Linked DNA regions of Nothobranchius furzeri. The protein of the gene in region 2 interacts with the protein of the main gene of each other region in a biochemical or structural test. Links are inferred from orthologs where the notes say so. Each region holds a gene or a part of one and is shown on either strand. Other genes may lie near its edges.

Region 1 (3,656 bases), on a different chromosome or scaffold from region 2:
GGACTTTCTACAGCAAATGTCGCTGAACTCACTCAGAGCGTCGCAGTCGGCACAGCGACCGTTTCCTCGAATGCTCCGGACCGACTGCAGGGCCAACGCCTCCGACTGGCTCGTCAGCCGAGACTGGAAGACAAAATGTTAGTGTGGACATCTTTAGTCCAGGGGTCATTATTTTCAGGGTGTCCATTGGGGGGGGGGGGGGGGGGTGTCAGGTGACTCAGGAGTGTTTCAGTTTTAACCTGCACCTGTACAGCTCACCCCCGTCTACTGGCTGGAACAAAACACAGAAACAAGCCTGAAGATGTTCTGGAGGACAGCAAAACCTAGGAGAACCTTCAGCTCAGGATGTTCTCTTGACTGGACCTTTACTCTGGCTTTCTACCAGTTAGACCTTCAAAATGATCCAAAGCAGCAGCTGATAACCAGAACCATTAGGATCAGTAGAACCTGGACCTACCTTGTTCTTGCTGCTCTCACACGACTGCAGGCTGGCCAGGATCTGGCCCTCAATCACCTGGACCCAGGCGTCCCGCTCCTCGTACGAAGTGGCCTCGAAGTTCCACGTCTGCCCCGTCAGAGAAACGATGATGAACTCAAAGTTCTCCTCTTGTTCTGCTGGAGAGAAAATTCACATCTGGGTCAGACAGAACCGGGACCCAGTCCCAGTCTGAAACCACAACCAAAATATAAACATTTGAGAAGAAAGCTGAGAAAAAGATAAATGTTTTTAAATAAAAATCCTTTTGTCTCACTACTCATTAGGGGTGGTGAGATGCTTGTAGGACTAGAACCGTTAAAATGTTAATTAATCAATAAAATTAAAATAGGAAGCTCCTGGAAAACCAAAATAAACTCAAGAGAAAGGATTGAAGCCGATTCTCTAGATCCAGCTCAGCCCTGCAGGCCCTACGGCCCCATCATAATTAAACTCCCATGATTCTCTGTTCTCGGGGGGTGGGGTGGGGGTGCAATTATGGGAACCAACAATCCAGAAAGGCCTTGTCCATCTGAGCCACAAATTAAACGCTGTTTCTGATTTAAACGCTGACCCGGCGCTGCAGCAGCTAATGAATACAAGGGGTGGTGTATGTGTGTGGCTGGGGGGGCAACCTGGACTCAGATCCGACAGGAACGAGTGAAACAACGTGACATTTAAAGCTGCACTCATCAGATTTTAACATTAAAGGTCACTTCAATAAGTTTCCTGCAGTTTTTCAGCCAGTGGTTTGATTCCCGAGGCTCCATCACTTCCTGTTTTTGTTCTGAGCAGAACAAACACTCAGACTGACAAGGGCGGCGGCGGAACCAGGTCCACCTTCCAGGAACCAGAATCTGAGCTCAGATAGGACGAGCAGGACATTGGGACACCAACAGAACTCTTGTTGTGAAAAATTGGCATCATAATAATTAAACACATCTGAAGTTACACCTGCAGGTTATTCTGCTGCCCCCTGGTGGCCATCAGCATCATCTACAGGAATAACAGCTTTTATTTTTAACATAAAGAAATCAGTTTTAACGGGTAAAAAGACAAAAAAAGGATAAAAATGTTTCTGTTTCATCTGGTAAAACAACAAAAATTATATTCCAAACACCATATTTTTTTAAATAAGACATCAAATTACCAGGAAGCTATTCAACATTTGAAATAAGATAATAAATGATTAAATAGTTAAAAATTATTAATAAAAACCTGAATTTAAAGGCTGTTAGCACCAAAACACAAAGAGTTTTCTCTCAGGCCTTAGGAGAATATTTGTGTTTGTTTTGTGTTTAAATGGGTTTCCTCATTGTTGCTGTACACACACACACACACACACACACACACACTGAGCGATGCAATGGTAATTACTGCCACCGCTCTCGGCTACTGTTGCTGACATTCGCGTAGAGAGAGGTGTGCAGAGGCAATTTGTGAACTCTGACACCGGCAACCTTTAGCAGCACAAACAGAACCAACCAAACCTCGAACATTTACAGCAGGCGGGCGGGTGGGCCGCCAACACGGGCCGATCACCGAGAGCGCCGGGCCCAAACGGTGCCGTGAGAGGGGAGGAGTGAGGCGGGCAGACGGGGGAACAGGAAACACAAATTAAATGCCTTAAATGTCACCGCACACAGGATTGCTTTGAGACACAGGTCATTACTCCTCATATTATTCAAGGCATCTTACAACATTAATAACCTGGAAAATGTTCCCAGGTTCTGGATGAGGTCTGGATTTGTTCCCAAATCTGCAGGAGGAGGAGGCTTGCTGCAGGTCTAGCTGGCAACTTGGTGTCACCATCCCCAGAACCAGCACACAACACCAGCCAGCACTGGAAAACGTAAAGTACAGGCAGGGTTCTGGTGCAGGAAACACACATGGTTACAGGCAGAGGCTGATGAACTCAGCTAAACCCAGATTAGTGCAAATAAAGCAGATAAACAAAAGTTAAACAGGTCTAGTCCCAGAGGGATCCAGGTCTAAACCTACAGGGATCCAGGTCTAGTCCTGCAGGGATCCAGGTATAGAACCACAGGGATCCTGGTCTAGACCCAGAGAGATCCACAGGGATCCTCGTCTAAACCCACAGGGAACCAGGCCTTGTATTTCAGGGATCCTGGTCTAAACCCACAAGGACCCTGGTCCAGTCCCAGAGGGACTCACGTCTAGAACCACAGGAATTCATGTCTAAACCCACAGGGATCTAGGTCTAGACCTACAGGGATACAGGTCTAGTCCCAGAGGGATCCAGGTCTAAACCCACAGGGATCCAGGTCTAGACCTACAGGGACCCAGGTCTAAACTCACAAGGATCCTGGTCCAGTCCCAGATGGATTAAGGTCTAGAACCACAGGGATGCAGGTGTAAACCCACAGGGATCCAAGTCCAGACCCACAGGGATCCTTGTCTAAACCCACAAGGAATCAGGTCTAGACCCGCAGGGATCCAGGTCTAGACCCACAGAGATCCAGGTCTAGACCCACAGGGATCCAGGTCTAAACCCACAGGGATCCAGGTCAAAACCCACAGGGATCCAGGTCTAAACCCACAGGGATCCAGGTCTAAACACACAGGGATCCAGGTCTAGACCCACAGAGATCCAGGTCTAAACCCACAGGAATCCAGGTCTAAACCCACAGGAATCCAGGTCTAAACCCACAGGGATCCAGGTCTAAACCCCCAGGGATCCAGGTCTAGACCCACAGAGATCCAGGTCTAGACCCACAGGGATCCAGGTCTAAACCCACAGGGATCCAGGTCTAGACCCACAGAGATCCAAGTCTAGACCCACAGAGATCCAGGTATAGACCCACAGGGATCCAGGTCTAGACCCACAGGGATCCAGGTCTAGTCCTGCAGGGATCCAGGCATAGAACCACAGGGATCCTGGTCTAGACCCAGAGAGATCCACAGGGATCCTCGTCTAAACCCACAGGGAACCAGGCCTTGTATTTCAGGGATCCTGGTCTAAACCCACAAGGACCCTGGTCCAGTCCCAGAGGGACTCACGTCTAGAACCACAGGAATTCATGTCTAAACCCACAGGGATCTAGGTCTAGACCTACAGGGATACAGGTCTAGTCCCAGAGGGATCCAGGTCTAAACCCACAGGGATCCAGGTCTAGACCTACAGGGACCCAGGTCTAAACTCACAAGGATCCTGGTCCAG
Region 2 (2,777 bases):
TGGATGTGCGCCCCTTTGCTTTGACCTGATACAGGTTAAGATGGTCGGTTCAAAATCAGACAACTCAAATCAACATCTAGTGGGAGGGGGTGGGGGAGTTTAGTTAACAGATTTAGTGGTGGTGGGGCTTCCACCCTTGCTCTTCCTTTGCCGTATGAAAACCATGCCCGTGCCTGGAGGGTGGGGGGTGAAGGGGGTCGTGCAAGACTGAGAGTGGAGGCAGACCGGGCGGTGGGTTGGGGGCAGGAATGAGGTTGGTGAATGGGGGTGGGGGGCTTGAAAACCAGACTGCTGATTCCACAGGTGTGTAAAAGGCACGCCGGGATTCCTCCTAATCCCAGCCAACACACACACACACCTTCACACCCACACTCTCTGAACACACAACACACACACACTCTCACACACTCACACACATGAGCAGCACAAGCTCGAGCCCCGAGAGGATGGACGAGAAGGGAAAGCAGGAAAAGCATGAAAGCGCTGGATCAGAACTAGGTCAGATGGGAGCAGGGGGGCCTGGGTCTGGTGCTGCCGCTGTGTTGAAACAAAAAAAATTAACAACAAACAAAAACCCAAATAGGTGGAATGGATCATTTCTGGTTCTTGAGCTGGTTGGAGAGCCAGTCCAGACCCTCGTAGAGACCGTCCCCACTGGTGGCACAGGTGGCCTGGATGTACCAACTGCGCTGGCGCAGAGCGTGTAGGCCCAGTTTGTCTGTGATCTCTGCAGCATTCATGGCGTTGGGGAGATCCTGGGAAGAGCAGGTGAACATCATCAACGATATCTGAAAGCTGACATTCTTAAATACAAAACACAAATGAGCTCTTTAATACAGTAAAACCAATCTTTAGTCTATAGTAGCTAAACACTCCTGGATAGTCCTACCTGTTTATTTGCAAAAACAAGCAGCACAGCGTCTCTGAGCTCGTCCTCTGCAAGCATTCTGGAAAGCTCCTCTCTCGCCTCATTCACTCGCTCCCTGTCATTGCTGTCCACCACAAAAATAAGCCCTGAAAGCAAAAACACACCAAGTTAATGTGTGAGCAGATAACATGTTTGTGTTTCAGCATGTGTCCTGGTTGGAGGGGGCTTCTGAGACCACTGTTAATAATTAACAAGGGCTGAAACATCAAATGGTTAGAATCAATAAAGGAATACTTTGCAACTTTCAAAGTTTTAAATCATTTTCTTGAGCCAGTACGTGCCAAAATGACCCTTTACTGGGTTAATGAAAGGCCACCCAGCCCCTATTGCCCCCTGTGGCCAGAAGATCACACTTGCAACATCAGTTTCTGGTCTTGTCCGTTAGGACTTAAAAAATTGAACTAACCTACCTGGCACTGCAGACTGGTTCCAGAACATTTCCTAAATGTTGTAGATCATGAACAAAGCCGATTTGTTTAATTTAGTAATGAATCACCCCTCTAGACACTTAGGAATGCTGGGAGACACTTCAGTTGTGAGATTAAAGGGATAAAAAGACAAATGCAGACCGAGGAGATAGGTTCTGGTTTCATTTCTACAAATGGACACTAGGGGGGCAAAAGCAAGTAAACTCCTTAATTTTGTACTGATTCAAAGCGTTAAATGTGCACACCACAGTCTGAGCACATTTCACTGGCACACAATGTGGTAAAAAGGTGGAGGCAGTCCTTCCCATGTTAAAGACAAAAACAGCCTAAAGTTTGGGATAAAGAGTTAAACTACGGGAAGACTGGCTAATGCTAAGCTAGCATGAAAGACGCTCACGATGAAGTGGAGATCAGGGAAAAAAAGCGTGATGGTAGCGAATCTACAAGCAGAAGAAAAATCTCCACTATCCCATTTATTTGTGGACGTCTGCAGCTGCAGCGGTGTGGGGCAGAACCGCTGCAGCTGCTACCCAGAGTCAGGTTGTTGCTGCTGAGTCAGTGACTCAAGTGCTCCACACACCACAGCAGACTATGACAAGCCGTTGTAGCATGTAATTCATAAAAACCTCTATATTTGAATACAATTTAGTAGGGATGTGAGAAAATATCGATATGGCAAAATATCGTGATTTTTTTCCTGCAATATTATATCGATATTCTAAAGCCGTGTATCTAATTCTTGAAAGAATTTACATGCAAAACATTTGTGTATTTTCTTTTCGTTTTGTGCAATTCAATCACCACCCGCTAGTTGGCAGCAGTGTGCAATGGGTTTTGTTTCCACCACTGAAATGTAAATCCCTCCATCATGGTTCAGATACCTCATGTTAAACATGTTACGTATCAGTTTGGACTGTTTATTGAACATTCTTACAACAAATTCAGTAAAAAAAATTGCGTGTAACGTCTGACTGAATGCATCGCAATATATCGTATCGTCTCCCCTGTATCGTGATATGTATCGCCAAAATTTAAAAAATACACATCCCTGCAATTTAGACTGGATTATATTGCCAACCAGTACATAATACAATTAGTGCTGCCATGACTAGTTAACGCGTCACGATGACGTCAGCAAACAAAATAGTCAATAAATGTAATAGTCAACTAGTCGTTTATTCCATGAGCATTTTTTAAATCTCGCCTGCTCCGTCTTTCTCCTCGAGTCACATGTGCAGTAGTCACGTCCGGGTCAGTCGCCACTTTTTCCTAGAGGCACATGCGATCCAGATCAGCATTTGAATCAGAAACACAGAAGAAACAAGATATCATGGCGCGCCGGCAGCGTAGCTCAAAGGTTTGGAAGCATTTTACAAAAACAAACGAGAAGCATGTAGAGTGCTAAATCTGCTAAGAGAAAC
Region 3 (3,756 bases), on a different chromosome or scaffold from region 2:
TTGATCCACAAGCCTTCAACGGCTGGATGGCACTAAACAGAAACTCTCGTTTTGACGTTGCATCCTAAAACAAACCTGGACCGACTCCAGACAGCAGACTTGCTGCTATTTAATCGCTGCTTGCTTGGAAAGAAGACGAGATCAGCTGGCTGCAGCTAAAAAAACGTGGTTAATTCTTTCCGGAGATAAGTCACCTAAACACTCATCAGATCACATGCTTTTGGAGATAACTCAAGAGTTCTGCTGACATATAATAAATCGAGTTTTTTTTCCAACAAACACGGACAGATTTCAAATGGTATTATATGATGACTAACACTGATCTCCCATCACTTATTTTAAGCTGCTGGGACAATAATAATAATAATAATAATAATAATAATAATAACAATAATAATAATAATAAGGCTTTGACGTGCTGGAGGGACTGATAAGTTGTAGAGGAAGTAGCTTAGTTTCACTAATTGCAGTCTTGATTCTGGGATGCTCCCTGTCACGCTGTCAGTGGAACGCCCTGGCAAAAATAAGACTGGTAAAGAGGAGGAAGAAGAGACTGGCAACAGCTAAGTGAGAATGGGATCATAATATCCTCGGGGCACAACAGGAGTTGTCAGAGTTTAGACTCAACCAGGAGCCACAACCGTACGGTGCCCTCTTCCAGGTGGATTTCAGGCTAAATTAACAACTTTTGGCAAACAGTCAATTCCACCCAACCCTGAAGCTACTGGCTTACTCAGTGTTCACCAGACACACTATACATCTCCGTGTGTACATTTCTCTGAAGGTAAATGCCAAAGTGTTGTCATTGAGCACTGCACCCAATATGAACTTTCTTTAAATTTAGATTTTGGCACAGATCTGACCTTGTGCTTCACAACACACAAACAAACCCAAGAGTTAAGTAAGCTCAAGTAAGTCTCCAACGAACTCGGTGGAAAACTTCCTCCAAGTTGGAAAAGATACATTTCTCAAATTAAGGGGTCGATATCTCAATATCTTATTCAGAAGTGATGATAGCATGGAGCTTCATCTGGAGAAACACACACTCTACCCCAGCGTGTGGTGGTAACGAAGAAGCTGAGTCAAAAAGCTAAACTTTCCATTTACTGGTCCCTCCAGATTCATGTTTTCATTTGTGATTTTTACTTGTGAGATTTGGATCATGACTCAAAGAACAAGATCCCATAAACAAAGTGGTGAAACTGGCTTTCTAGTCAACAGCTTTACTGGCCTCAGCTTTAACTATAAGGCGGGGAGCTCATTAAAGAGGACACAAAACCAGAATCTGCTGGACCAACGACAGATCTCCCAGAGCCTGGTAGAGCCTCGGAATACCACAGGATTTTCCAAAGAATGACAGAATGATGGAGCGAGAAACAAATGAAAATGTGAATGGCAGATGCTAATTAATACTATGATTACTCGAAATTAAAATACATATAAGCTACAAATTTATGGCATATCCACATATCACAAATGATTATGGTTTATGTTAAAGTGCCAGAGGCCAGAGAGGGAAGTCAGATTATCAGGAGTGAATCAGAACGCAAATGGCTGTCAAATAATAAACCTTTCAGCAGTGATTTAAGAACGTTCAAAAAGCAGCTGAAACTGAAAAATGTAGTTTACATTCAGATTTTCTACAGAAAACTACTTATTCCAGACGTGTTTCCCTCTCAGATTCATATTGAAAACAGTTTTTGGTTAGTTAAAATAGCTTTCACTATTTATTGTTGTAAAATTTTTAACGACCAAGACTAAAATGTAAAACGCAACAGATGTTTTTGTACTTGCTGTAACCCGTAAAAAAACACCAATTTCAGAAAAATTCATTTCGGTGACTGTCATGGTAACATTCCATTTTTCCTCAGTAAATTGTAGTCGTGTCAGGCTTCCTCTCACTAGTAGTCTTGATTTTATTCACAAGTTATGTTGAAATCAAGCAACGTCTTGACATAAGTTGGTGACGCGGTTAATGCTCCTAATCTCGGGTAATATTTAAAAGCGGGGCTTCGTAATAGACACAAAACTGATAAAAATTCAGTGAGCTGGCAGATTCGTGATGCTAATGTAAGCTAGCCGCTAGCCGTGTTACCTGACAGACTGGTGAACAACAAGGACGCCGCTTTCAGACTCTGTTGGCTCCGCTGATAAACTCCCCGGAGGATTTTCTTCTGTCGCCGCGGAGCTGCAGATGTCGGGCTGTCAGAGACTATCGGCTCCACAAAAGAGTAATTAAAATACCGCCGATGTTAAAAGCCGGTAGCCGTGTTCCTGTTTGCATACGTTGGCAGAGAAATGCATCATGGGTAAAGCTTTCTTTGTGATCTTTTACATCGGAAGTGCGTTTAAAGTGCGCGCTACTGCCCCCTGTCAGGATAGATTGTTACTACTTTTGCTCTTGAAACAAAAAACACAAGAATAACAGATATTAGACGTCATAGATGTAATAGTAGCGACAATAATGATGGTGAAGCACTTTTCAAGATAAAAATCACAAAGCGCTGCACAAGCACATTAGAATAATTGAAAAGACAACAATGAAGGTTTTAAAAAAATTAAAATCAAGAAAACCTGACAATACAGAAATGAAAGAAATAAACGATTGGAGCTCGAATAAAAAACGTGACTAAACATCAAGTTTTTCAAAATGTGATTGTTTCATTACTAAACTACTCTATTTAGATACTGCTAATCAAATGCAAACTCTTTTTACAGTGCATTGATATGGAGCTATAGCTACAACATAATAACAGCACAGCTTCATGCAACGACTGCATTATGTTTCAAAGGAAAAATGATTGTGACTGATGATAATGATAAGAACCTGAAACAGGATGTAACTTTACACAGCGGCAGGTTAAATGAAAGACAGCCAAGTCAAAGTCAAAATAAGACACATTCAGAACACAGTGCATTATGTGAAATGAGATTTACTGCAGCTTTTGTGGCATGCTGTCCACCTGCCACAATCACAATGTCCCCCAAGGTGTCTAATAAATAAATAAAGAATGAGACGGGGCATGGGAAGTCAGGTTTCATTGAAGGAGATCTAGTTTTTCCGACTCAACAGATGCTGCTGCAGCTCAAATTGCTAAATGGCCTAATGTTGCCTCTGATAGACAAGTGCTTAATCACACTGCACATAGCGGTTTATTGCACAAAACTTCACAGGTCTAGCTGAGTCCATACCTGACCAGGTGAGGGTTTGGGTGTAAGGATGAGCCAAAATAAGGTCAGCTATAGCAAACTCAGTTGTAACATTGAACCTGGTCAGTGTAGAACCAAATTCAAGTTTTTGTTTTATCAAAATATCATAAGAAATACTCTTTTGATGAAGCATTTTTTCTAATTATCTTCTGCAAAACAATCAGCATAAGCACACAAATTGATTATATCCTTCTCATGACCTATGACTGACCAGAGCCTAATCCATGGAAATCACAATCCATTCAAATAAACTCTGCAGACATGAACTTATGAACTTATGTCATTTTTACATAATTACGAATAACACAGTAGAAGATGATCATAATAAACAAGTCATTAAGTCAGGTCAAGTCAAGGCAAATTTTATTGATATAGCACATTTTCATGGCAACAGCCATTGCCTCAAAGTGATGCACAGATAAGAACAATGCACAAACATAAAAGACACAAAGCATAAAAGAAGCAATAAAAAAACTGAAAAACAGTCATAAAATTTGAAAGCCTAAGACACATAAAACAGATTACGCATTGCAACACTCCAGGTGA

What was found.
Region 1: of the proteins of arf2b (region 2) and agap1, one has a biochemical effect on the other in vitro, tested with the Homo sapiens proteins (2 studies listed by BioGRID, with this or other methods). The link is inferred for Nothobranchius furzeri from reciprocal best matches to the Homo sapiens genes ARF1 and AGAP1.
Region 3: the proteins of arf2b (region 2) and arfgap1 form a complex in vitro, tested with the Homo sapiens proteins (2 studies listed by BioGRID, with this or other methods). The link is inferred for Nothobranchius furzeri from reciprocal best matches to the Homo sapiens genes ARF1 and ARFGAP1.

What each region holds. Positions count from the first base shown.
Region 1 is NC_091743.1:81,941,587-81,945,242, forward strand, and holds part of agap1 (arf-GAP with GTPase, ANK repeat and PH domain-containing protein 1), read right to left. Parts: intron 616-3,656; coding exon 458-615; intron 124-457; coding exon 33-123; intron 1-32. UniProt on the Homo sapiens protein: GTPase-activating protein for ARF1 and, to a lesser extent, ARF5. Directly and specifically regulates the adapter protein 3 (AP-3)-dependent trafficking of proteins in the endosomal-lysosomal system.
Region 2 is NC_091756.1:54,229,952-54,232,728, reverse strand, and holds the end of arf2b (ADP-ribosylation factor 2b), read right to left. Parts: intron 1,015-2,777; coding exon 890-1,014; intron 756-889; coding exon 594-755; 3' UTR 562-593; downstream 1-561. UniProt on the Homo sapiens protein: Small GTPase involved in protein trafficking between different compartments. Modulates vesicle budding and uncoating within the Golgi complex. In its GTP-bound form, triggers the recruitment of coatomer proteins to the Golgi membrane.
Region 3 is NC_091743.1:50,659,435-50,663,190, reverse strand, and holds the start of arfgap1 (ADP-ribosylation factor GTPase-activating protein 1), read right to left. Parts: upstream 2,278-3,756; 5' UTR 2,096-2,277; intron 1-2,095. UniProt on the Homo sapiens protein: GTPase-activating protein (GAP) for the ADP ribosylation factor 1 (ARF1). Involved in membrane trafficking and /or vesicle transport.